Linked DNA regions of Notamacropus eugenii. The protein of the gene in region 3 purifies or fractionates together with the protein of the main gene of each other region. This does not show direct contact. Links are inferred from orthologs where the notes say so. Each region holds a gene or a part of one and is shown on either strand. Other genes may lie near its edges. The genes, in order: BRMS1L, SINHCAF and SIN3A.

Region 1 (3,749 bases), about 88 Mb from region 3:
CACAATGCTGAAAATGATAGCTAAATGGATGATCAAGTAAGGATCTAGCTGAATCTATAAGATGAAAAAGACCTGGGTGGTTTAATGGCTTAAGCTCAATATTAATCAGAAGTGTGATATGGAAACTAAAAAAGCTAATGTAATTTTGGGCTTCATAAACAAGAGGCACAGCTTCTAGGAAAAGCGGGGTATAAACCAACAATATTCTGCCTTCATCAGAATTAATCTGAAACACTGTTCAGTTCTAGATGCCACCGTTTTAAAAGGATATTAATAAACTTTTGAGTGTCCAGAGAAGGGCAAACATAGTAAAAGGTCTCAAGTCCCTGACACATAGGAATCTGTTAAAGTAACTGAGAATGTTTAAGCCAAAAGAAAAAAAAATGGGAGGTTAAGGGGGTAGAACCTGATAGGTAAATTTAATTATCTGAAGGGCTCTCATGTGGAAGAAGACTAGATTTGTTCTATTTGGCCACAGAGGACAAAACCAGGAGCAAAGGCTAGAAATTACAAAGAAGTCAATTTAGGTTTAATGTTAGGAATAACTTCCTGACAATTGGAGAGGTCCAAAAATGAACTTGGTTGCTTCAAGAGGTGATGGATCCCCCTCCTTGGAGATCTTCAAGCAGACGCTAGATGAGCATTGGTAGATATGTTATAGTAGGAATTCCTTCACATATGGACTATAACATTGCTTGAAGACTGTTTCAACTTTCAAATGCTATTATTCTGATCCCTTCTTCTCCAGCAAATTACAAACTCAATCATCTCCCTCCTCTCTCTAATCTTCAACTTCTCCCTATATACTGGCTCCTTCAAAATTTGTCCAAGAATCCTCCATGCTTAAAAAAAACCTTCTTTAACCCCCTCAAGATACCCATCCTTCCTTTCTCTGTCAAACGCCTAGAAAAGCTGTCTACTAACCATTGCCTCCACCTCCTCTCCTCTCACTCAAGTCTTCTCTATTGGCTTCATCTCATAACTCAAATGAAATTGTTCTACACAGTTAACAATGATCTCTAAATTGTTGGTTCTAATGGCATTTTTTTTCAGTCATTCTTGGACCTCTTTGCAGCATCTGACATTGCTACTTTAACCTGGATACTGGATACTTTATCCAGGGATTTTGAAACATTATTCTCTCCTGGTTCTTCTCTTACATGTTGACTGCTCCTCCTCATTCTACTACGCTGGCTAATCATGGTTCCTAACTGTGAGTTGATCTCCAATCCTGGACTCTTCTGCTCTTTCTACAAGGTCATTTAGGGACCTCATCAATTTCATTGCTTTATCATCTCTAGGCAGATGATTCAGACATCTATACATCCAGTTGCAGCTCCTCTGAGCTTGAAGTCCTGCGTAACAACAACAACTAATTACTTATTGGACATTTCCAAACAGATTATACCTCAAACTCAACATATTCAAAACAGAGCTCATTATCTTTCCTCCAAACTTCCCTATTTCTTCCAGTCACTGCTGTGGATAGTATCAGAGGTTCTGAATTCTTCACTTTCCTTCAGAGCACATATCCAATTAGTGGCCAAATCATGCTATTTCTACCTCTCCCACATAAGCTAGATTATTTCAATAACCTCCTAACTGGTCTCCCTGCCTCAATCCTCTACTCACTCCATTCACCCTCTATTCTGCTGCAAGTGATCAGGGCTGACCATATCATCCCTTACTAAATACTCTAGAGGAAACTCAAGAAACGTTACTGGTGGGCTGGTTGATTTGGAGGTAGAGGTGAGGGAAAAAAACGGCATTAGGACAGAGGAAAGTGTGCTCTCACTCCGGGGGCGTGGGGGCACCCACCCAAGGGGAGATGGCCGAGCCAGATCGGCTGCAGGCAGGGGCGGGCAGACACAACGAGGCCTGGTGGGGAGGAGCGATCGCCACCGGCTGCCGGGGCAAGGACGTGCCAAGTGACCAGAGGCAGCGGAGAGTGTAAAGGCGTTCCTCCGCGCAGGAAGGGCCACACGCCTCCGCTCCGCTTGCCCACGCCAGCTGTGGGGACCCATGACCCGGCGTAGGCGTACAGGAGTTGCTGCCGGCGCCTCCTCCCCTTCCCAGCCCCGCAGAGGGCGGAGGGACGCCGGGACAGGGGCGCGGGGTCCCTAGCACAGGCCTGGGAAGGAGTCTCCGCCCCTTCCCTTCTCTTTTACCCCCTTTCCGGGGCGAGTGGACCAGACGTGAGGCTGGGGCAGAGAGGCCCGGCCGGGCGGCCGGAGATCTGACCACCTACCTGAGCTGTCCCCATCCTCGGAGACGGACGAGCTCTCGGTGTCCTCGTCCTCCGAGGTGCTTCCCTCGTTCTCGGCGTAGTCCACCTCCATTTCATCGTGATGGTTCGTCTCCTTCTTGTCCCCGCGGGAATGGACAGGCATTTTCTAGTCGCCCCCGGCGTTTATTTCTCTTCCTCGCAGGCTACGGCCCCTTCCGTGCGGCTATGTGCGCAACCCCACTCCAAGCGACACGACTTCTCCCAGAATTGTCTTCTCCCTATCTGGAACTCACAGCCTAACCCGCCGGCTCCCGCGATGGAAGCCCTGCCATTGGAGAACCCCTTCCATGAAGCCTGGGAGGCGGGGCTTGGCCGCACGTTGAAGCTTCGAAGGCCCGTTGCCTTTCGGGAGTTGTAGTCTCTGCGAAGGAAACCCGAGTTGACTGGATTTCACAGCCTCAGCCCTGGTGATTTGGCATAACTGGAATTCAAGTCCCAATAAAGCACCAATCACATACACTCAAATCTCATTTATAGACAGAAGCACATATTTGATACATACGTGAACTATTTCCATTTTCCCATTAAACAGCTGCCATCTGAGTACCCCACCCCCAACTGTATAAGTCTATCAGAAATAGAAAATTATTTCCTCTACCCACCTTGGTTCAGAACCTCATTGTTAGTATCAATAACTTCACCGACTGTTAGAATAAGAAACCTTAGAGACTAATGTAATCCAACCCCTAATTTATGTAAAGACAAGAAAAATGAAGACCTAGAAAAATTAAGTAATTTAACAAAGATCTCACAGCAAGTTAGTGGCAGAGTAAGGGCAATAACCAAACTCACTATCAATGGAGTATAGTGGGAAAAGTACTGGATTTGGAGGCAGGATGTGGGTTTGAGAGTGGCTCTCATCACTTGGTTCTATCCTTGGACAAGTCTTTTAACCTCTGTGTGACTCAGAACATATGACTCAATATCTTTGGCCTCAGTTCCTTCATCTGTAAAAAGAAAGTCTTATTCTAAATGATCCAAGTGATGGCTACCAGTTTTGACCGCCTACTTACAGGAAGGCCGGTGCTCATTCCACTAAATTGCAGTCCTACTGAGATAATAAATTTGTATTTTCTATCTCAATTTATATGATTTGGCTACACAATACATAGAATTATGCAAATAATTGTTTTAAAAACTTCAATTCTGTTCTCTCAGCCACAGAAACAAGAGGGGATAGTGAAGAAGGAGGTAAAGCATAAGAGTAACTGAGAAGAGGATAGTCAGAAGCAACACATTTCTGTTCCTGAAGAGGAATCTAAAAGAGAAAAAGAAAAACAAATACAATTTAAAGGGTGTGGTGCCCATCAAGGCAATATTAACATTAAGTTAATATTAATAATATTGCGCCTTATGAAATGAGGAAAGAGAATATTAGAGAATCCTGGAATAAATGAGATGGTGAAGAGTGATAAATGAGAAAAATACATACAGAAAACAACATTGTAAAGAAAAACAATTT
Region 2 (3,749 bases), on a different chromosome or scaffold from region 3:
ACATATATAGTGTGTGTGTATAGAGAAAGAAAGAGGGAACAAACTGTACTAAGACTTTTGGGATACCCAGTATACGTACAAACAACAAATACAAAATATTTTGAGGGTGGAACCTGGAGCTGGAGCTCATGTATCTGTGTTGGTATTTGCAGTGGTATTTGACTTGAACTTTGAAGGGAGCTAGGAGAGATTTTGAGACAGCAGGGTGTCTAAGTAGATAGAATGCTAGGCCTAGAGTCCAGAAGACCTGAGTTCAAATCTAGCCTCAGACACTAGTTGGGTGATCCTCAGCAAATCCCTTAACCTCTGTTTGCTTAATCCCACTGGAGAAGGAAATGGCAAACCACTTCAGTATCTTTGCCAAGAAAACTCCTTATGGGATCACAAAGAGTTGGACAATGACTGAGTGACTGAAGAACAAAAACAGAAGGGATTTTAGGGGGCAGTCGAGTACATTCAAGTGATTGGGACAAGCTGTGCAAAGGCACAGAGAAAGGAGATAGAATATTATTAAGGAACTACAAGAAGAGTAGTTTGATTGTGATGTAGTGGACAAGCTCCTGGAGGAGATGCACTTGGTACTGGCAAAGAGAAGGACTTCATAATAAAGCCACCTTAAGATCAGATGCTGTGTCAGTCTCATTCTTCACAAGAGAACTATGAAGACTCCTAAGGAAAAGCTAAACTGGATCAAAATCAAATGTTCCTAGGGAAAACCTTGTTTGGAGCCATAAACAACAGAGTATTATTATTGAGAATCTTCCAAGATATGAACCTTGGCTAAGTAAGTTCAGAGATGTTTTAAGTGATGCACAGATTGCAAGAGAGCTCACTGTAGGTAAGAAATAGTCCTTCCCAACAACCTGGCAAATTAGCATAATTTAGGGGTATTGGTATGGCTGCCTTGTTCCTATTAGTTGAGAGTCAGTTACAATGGCCAATAAAAATCTAACAATTAGCATTTCTAGACTAAAAAAAATGTTTTTAATGCATTGATATTAGCTACCAGTAGAGTAAATTATTCACTTAGAAACATAAATACTGACAAAAACCTATTAATTATTTATTTTTGTTAAATAAGAATTAGTTCTCTCAGTTCTTTATATTAAAGCCCCTCCAAATCAAAAATAATAGTAAGAAATCATAGATATGAGTTAAAAATTTCTGAAAAGAAGTCAGTAAGTTCAAATGAATGAGAAAGTACTATTCTATTGAATAGAATTACATTAGACACATATTTTAAAGGGCTATATTGGTTATATATATATTATACATTTACAGTATAAAACCATATGAAGATAAGTGAGACAGGTGATCATTTTGCCCAAGTTTCTTATATTTTCACTTTCAGTTTTAGGGGGACTAGCCTCTAAGATTCCTTCCAGTTTTAAATTTTATGATATGGCAAAGGATAATTTAATTTTCATATTCATCAATTTACATATTTAACACAATTTATACCATAACTAATAGCAATCATTTAATCTTCACAAAAAATCAGCAGAGCTGATGTCTCATAGGAAGCAGTGGAGAAGAATGTTACAATAAGACTTTTTAAAAGCGCCTCACTAAAAAAAAATAGTTTTTATTATTATTGTTCTCATCTTACAAAATTTCCAATAAACCTGGTACACACTTTCCCAGAAATATCCATACCAACAGCAGGAAGAGTGAACACAGAGAACAAGGGGAATGTAGGGAGCCTGTGTGGCCAGAGACACACATGGAGGGTATGTAAGTAAGAAACATAGAATCACAAAATTTTAGAGCTGGAAAGAATTTCAGGGGCCATCTAGTACCTGATATACCTGAACAGGAATATTAAGGGTATGATTTAAATCCCTTTTCAACTCTCTTTTGGCTTCATCTGTCCATGAAAAAACTAAGAATGAGCTGTAGAGGAAATTATGAATTTGTCCTCTGGGCTTGGCTTTATCTACATCCAGAGGATGGGGAATCTATATGGAGGAATGGAAGAGGTTTGTGCTTTGAATTCAAGAACCCTAGAGGTATCTCTGGGAAAGTGTGTTTCAGGTTTATTAAAAGTATTCCTTTGCTACTTTCCTTACTATATTATTTTATGAAATGACTTTGCTTAGAATTCTGTCCTTGAATTACTCGAAAAGAAAATAAATTGTTTTCAGGCTTGTGAGTTATGATTTTGAGTATAACATTATCATCCTCAATTTATAATTAGAAACTATGAGGTTTAGCAAAGTTAAGTGATTTTCCCAAGGTCACACAACCAGTAGGCTGTGGAGTCAGGACTAGAGCCAAGGTTATCTTGAATTAGTGCTTCTTTCTCTGCACTCAAACATCATTTTAAATTACATTTTCAAACTAAGAGGATTTTCTATTATTTTTAGACGACAGGCAGACTAGGACAGATTTAGAGTCAGATGTGAGGTTAAAAGACACAGTTTCAAATGTTTCCTCTGCTACTTAGTACCTGAATGATCTTGGACTCCATTTTTAACCTCTATAGGCCTCTCATTCTTAATCTGTAAAATAAGGTTTGGCTAGATCAAAGGTTCTTAACTTTTTTATGTCATGAAACCTTTGACAGTATGATAAAGCCTATGGATTCATTATCAGAATATTTTAAAATTCATAAAATACATAGAATTAAAAATGAAAAAAATTATATTGAAATAGTCAGCAAAAGATTAAAAAAACAAGGTCACAGTTGAAGATTATGAATTCCATCTGCTAGACGACATATTCAAATACATCCTATGGAACAATAATCAATTATATTCCATTATTTTCCTTTTTTTTTAAGCACATAAGTCCATTTATCCAAACCAATGGCATCCTTCCTCTTTTTAATTTTTTAAAAAAGTTTTATACACCTTAGCAGGAATATTATGCTCCAGGTATTTTTCCATGACGACAACGATGATTTTAATAACACCTTAATTCATTCAGCTACATGATCACACTGAAATGGTAAACAATCAAATTTGTCAATAAGTGATTCAATTATGTTGTTTACGCTGATTCATTTAGAAACTCGCAACAATGTTTCTCTCCTTTTCCAGCCTTACTCATCAAAATGAGATAAGGTTGCTGGAAGAGTGATACATGTTAGTTTCCTCATTGTGTAACCGTCCAATTGAAATGAAATTCGATTTTTGCTAACGGTTGGGACGATTAGTTTTGATATCCCACCCTGGAAACTGCTACTAGCCTCTTCCTACTTCAACATACTTCCACATACACACTTTCCAAGTCCCGAGGCTGGTGCTATTTCTAATGAATACAATACGGGTGCACAGTCCGTCTGCAGGCTCTGGCTGCAGGCTTCCAGGCTGCCTGGCTCTCCAAGCCTCTCCAAGTCCCGGGGGAAGCCCAGCCACCCTGTTGCCACAGAAATGGAGAAGCCGTTCAACCAAAGCAAGCAGGAGAAACTGGCCTGAAAACGAAACGAAACGAAACAAAGCAAGGCATGGGAGGGGAGAAGAGGGTGAGTACGAGAAAGCTTTTTAAAATATCCCACTAAAAAGACCAGAAGGACGAAAAATCTGCTCCGCCAAGAAGAAACGGCTGGGAACACGAGCGAAGGGGGGGTCAGCACGTAAAAGTTCGGACCCGCCTCCGCATCACCCTGGACCTCAAGTTCATGGCAGGTGTGGAAGCCCGGCAAAGTGAAGCTTCTGGAAAAATAAAATAAAAATAAATAAAAATAAAAAGGAAGCTTCAGCCGCACGTTTTAAAAAAAGTCTTCTTTTCCTGCATCCATCTCACGA
Region 3 (3,749 bases):
CCTAAGACCTTTTGTGGAATGTTTACACTAGAGACTGAACCCTAGAGAATTCCGGGTTCCCGAGTTGAGGGGTGGCGCCAGCAATGGGGATCCCTGCTTAAAGAGGAGAGGCGGCAGCTTCTGGACTCCGTCCCCATCCGTGCACACAGAGGAGTAAGAAAAAAAATTAAGACGGCCCCTACTCTCTTAACCACCACCCCACCCACCTCCTTTGCAAATGCTTGCAACCTACAGCAAAGACCACAGTGTCACAAATGCAACCATCCAGTAGTGCTGCACTCAGCTAACTGGTTGCATCTAGACTAGGGGCACGCATCACGGAAGATTTAGTCTCCCCCATGACTTCTGTTTCACCCACCAAACCCCCAATATTGTACTGTTCAGGAAGGACGTAATTAAAAAGGCGAAATATCCTGAACCCTAAACAGACCCCTGTCACCCTAACAACTGTGGGAGAAAGCACTGATCCTCACAAGCTAAGCAAACAACCTGGCCCTCGTGCCAAAAATAAAAATCAAGCGGAGGAATGTCCATTGAAGCTGCCAGTTCGGGGTACAGAGAAAGGGGAAATGAGAAAAACCTCACATTTGGGAGTCTAATGCAGAAGGTCGCTTATAGTCCTCATCCACTTATCTACAACCCACTGCAAATAAAAGTGAAATGGGTTCACAAAGATCTTTTCTCTTCACGACTACCGCTATTTCCAAATACAACAACCTTTTAGTTGCCCAAAATTAGAATCCCATGAGGATGAGGTCGGGTTCAGAGAGCTGCACGTAGCCTATTTATTTCTATCGGGGGTGAGGAGGCGAGGGACACCCAGAGTGGCCTCCTCGGCTACGGGCGTGCCGCAGGTAAGCGAGTTTGTGATGGGCACTAAGCCCGCAACAACCGATTCTCGGTGGGAAACTACAGCGCGCTTTGTTCGCACGATGTGGTTTTCCGTGGCGTGTGGCCTGACACCCAGGAGCTGGGCTCGCTTGCCGCGGTTTCTGGTTCTGCTAGCTCCCTCCCTCCTTCAGCCTGAATGTTCTCAAACGTGGGATGGCAACAGGTGTGCCCGCCTCCCCGGCCCGTTCCCAACTGCTAAGGCACGGAGCGCGTCGGGAGGAACGCAAACTCTCTCCGGGAGCTCCCAACAGGTGACCTGGAGGATCCGGGCCGCCGAGGCGGGAGCTGGCCCGAAGCGAGATCAAGCCCAGACCGAGCGGGGGTTCCAAGCTTTCCTGCCGACGCTCGGAGGCTGGAGGCGGCAGCCTTGGGACTCTCGGGCCAGAGAAAAAAGAGCCCCCGCAGCACTGCCGAGCTCGGGGCCAGGAGGAAGCCCCTCATCTTCCCACACCCACAGGGCGCGGCTCGGATTGACGCTATTCGCTTTGGCCCCGCCGGAGGCTCCGCACTGCAGAGCATCTGCAGGCAAGCCGGCTCAAGCAGGCCTAGCCCTAGCTCAAACCCAGGAGGGTGCACAGCCCTCGACTTCCGGGAGGGCGGCCTGGGGCGGGCCTCCCACGTGTGGGGCAGGGGAGGGGGCGCACCCTACTGTTCCTCACGCTCTCCTCCCCCCGCAGGTAGGCGGGCCACCCCATCAGCCAATCCACTTCGACGCTGAGTCCCTCTAGCCTTAACTCATCCAGCTTCCGGGGCTGGGGGAGGGGGAGAAACCTAGCAACTTGAACCAGAGCCAGGCTTTGCGATAGGAGGAGTTGGCGGAGGGAGAGCAAGAACCAATAGAGAACTAGGAGGGGGGGGGGAAAATGGAGTCGTTCTCAGTCAATAGGAAACAAGAGGGGGCGGGTTCAGTCTTGCAGCCGGAATGGGGAGGGAAGGCGAGGGAGGAGAGAATGAGCGGCCCCGCCCCCTGCGCGCCCCCGGTTGCCCAAGCCAACGCCAGAACAGGTTGTAAACAGGCCGGGTCCCGGAGTGGAGGAAGCGAAGCCTCCCCTCTCCCCGAGCCTGCCGGGCCGGCAGCCCCGCCCACCGCGGGCCGGACGCGGCGGCGCACAGCTGACAGCGCCCCTCCCCCTCCCTCACAGGCTCCGCCCCCCGCGCACTGATGCATTTCCTCTTCCCGAGTCCCAGCGTGTGGAGTCGGGTCTGCCCGCTCGCTCGCTCCCGACCTTCACCGCCCCCTTTCCTGCCTCCGCTGCCCCGCGCCCGTCCCCCGCTGCTCCCCGCTCTCCGGGCCGTCCCCGTGGGACGCTCCCCGAGCTCGAGGGCCGAACGCGGGCCCGGCGGGTTCGGACGTGGAGCAGGATGCCCGCTCGCCGGGGCTGGCCCCGGGACTCGGGTCTTGGGACGTCCGTCTGCGCAGGCTGAGGGGCTGGGAGTCCTGCCCGCGGGCTGTCGGGCCCACGAACGTCCGCGGCCCGGAGCAGTCTGGGGCTCTCCGAGCGCCCACTGCAGCCCCCTCCCCCCAGCCCGCGGTCAAGTTCACGGGCAGCCGGAGGGGCGGTGATCCTCTAAGAGAACCACGCCCGGCCCTAGCCGGCTCCCTTCAAACCCAGGACGGCGGACGCCCCCAGACCTCCTCCGGCGGGCGGACGGAGACCCCTGAGGGGGCCAGCGACCCCCCACCCCCGCCTCGCCAGTCCAGGCGGGGAGGCCCGGCCCTCCCGCCCCCCAGCGCCGAGCCTCCTCTCGCCCTGCGCCCCTTAGACCTAGACACCACACCCCCGAAATGCCCGATATTGGGGGGGGTACTGAATGGAAAGCAGCTGTTCACATACCCTCAAAGCCCAGGCGAGGAGTCCTGAATGGGTGGGAACGCCCCCCAAACAGGATTGGCCACACGCAGGGTTGACGTCACCAGAGCCCGCCTCCCTCCCCTTTTCCCCTCCCCTTCCCGCGCTGCACCACTCCCCCGCTTCCAAAATTCAGATTCGCTCTCGGGGGCCGTCGCCGGCCCGCCCGCCTTCGCGCTCCGCCTGTGCTTCACGCGGGCCCGGGCGCTCCTAGAGGAGGGGGCGCGAGGAGCGGTGTGGGGGCAGCCCCGCCCCGGTGCGATCTGGGCAGGGGACTGCCGAGCCAAGCAGTTCCGTGGTCCCGGGGTCCGCGAGCCAATCAGGACTTTGCCCATCCTCATTCCGGGCTGTCCGGAAAGCTCAGACTGGTCAGACCCACGCTGTGCCTTGTGTGCCCCAGTTACCAGAGATCTGGGGGCTCACCTTCCTAGGCTGTGAAGTGATGGGCCAGCGTGAGACCACCTTCAAAGGCTCCTCCAGCTCTAGATCTGTGATCCTCGTTTGGTCCTTCCTGTTAATAGCAGGGGCTCTGTCTGCTTTCAACTTTAGACCTTCTAGTGTGGCCCAGTGCATGCAGTTGGTATTTAATGGTTGTTGAAGCTACCAAGAGTGGCATCCATTGCGTTTACTGGAGACATACAAAGATGGCTCCTTGATTCCTAATAGTTCACAGACTAATATGAGAGTTACTTGTGAATAGAGCTATACCTCAGTTTCTGTATCTATAAACTGATGGTCGTGCACTAGGTAATGTTCAGGGTCCTTTCCAACTCTAAATCTGTAATCTTTTCTTTTATCCCTATTAGACTGTAAGATACTTGAGCACAAAGCCCCCCTGCCCACTTTCGTCTTTATTCCCGTACTGCCTAGTGCAGAACAGCACCCTTCATCTCAGCCACCAGTACAAAGCAAGGAAGACATCCTCTTTTATCCTCTTTTTCCTCCTTTCCATCCCTCTCCCAAGGCAAAGTAGGGTCTTGACCACCCTTCACATGAAGAGCTCTGCCT

What was found.
Region 1: the proteins of SIN3A (region 3) and BRMS1L purify together in Homo sapiens (affinity purification with mass spectrometry; 3 studies listed by BioGRID, with this or other methods). This does not show direct contact. The link is inferred for Notamacropus eugenii from reciprocal best matches to the Homo sapiens genes SIN3A and BRMS1L.
Region 2: the proteins of SIN3A (region 3) and SINHCAF purify together in Homo sapiens (affinity purification with mass spectrometry; 4 studies listed by BioGRID and IntAct, counting the BioPlex papers as one, with this or other methods). This does not show direct contact. The link is inferred for Notamacropus eugenii from reciprocal best matches to the Homo sapiens genes SIN3A and SINHCAF.

The regions. Positions count from the first base shown.
Region 1 is NC_092872.1:328,082,960-328,086,708, reverse strand, and holds the start of BRMS1L (breast cancer metastasis-suppressor 1-like protein), read right to left. Parts: upstream 2,669-3,749; 5' UTR 2,391-2,668; coding exon 2,249-2,390; intron 1-2,248. UniProt on the Homo sapiens protein: Involved in the histone deacetylase (HDAC1)-dependent transcriptional repression activity. When overexpressed in lung cancer cell line that lacks p53/TP53 expression, inhibits cell growth.
Region 2 is NC_092874.1:215,688,855-215,692,603, forward strand, and holds the start of SINHCAF (SIN3-HDAC complex-associated factor), read left to right. Parts: upstream 1-1,045; 5' UTR 1,046-3,749. UniProt on the Homo sapiens protein: Subunit of the Sin3 deacetylase complex (Sin3/HDAC), this subunit is important for the repression of genes encoding components of the TGF-beta signaling pathway.
Region 3 is NC_092872.1:240,370,761-240,374,509, reverse strand, and holds the start of SIN3A (paired amphipathic helix protein Sin3a), read right to left. Parts: upstream 2,777-3,749; 5' UTR 2,727-2,776; intron 1-2,726. UniProt on the Homo sapiens protein: Acts as a transcriptional repressor. Corepressor for REST. Interacts with MXI1 to repress MYC responsive genes and antagonize MYC oncogenic activities. Also interacts with MXD1-MAX heterodimers to repress transcription by tethering SIN3A to DNA.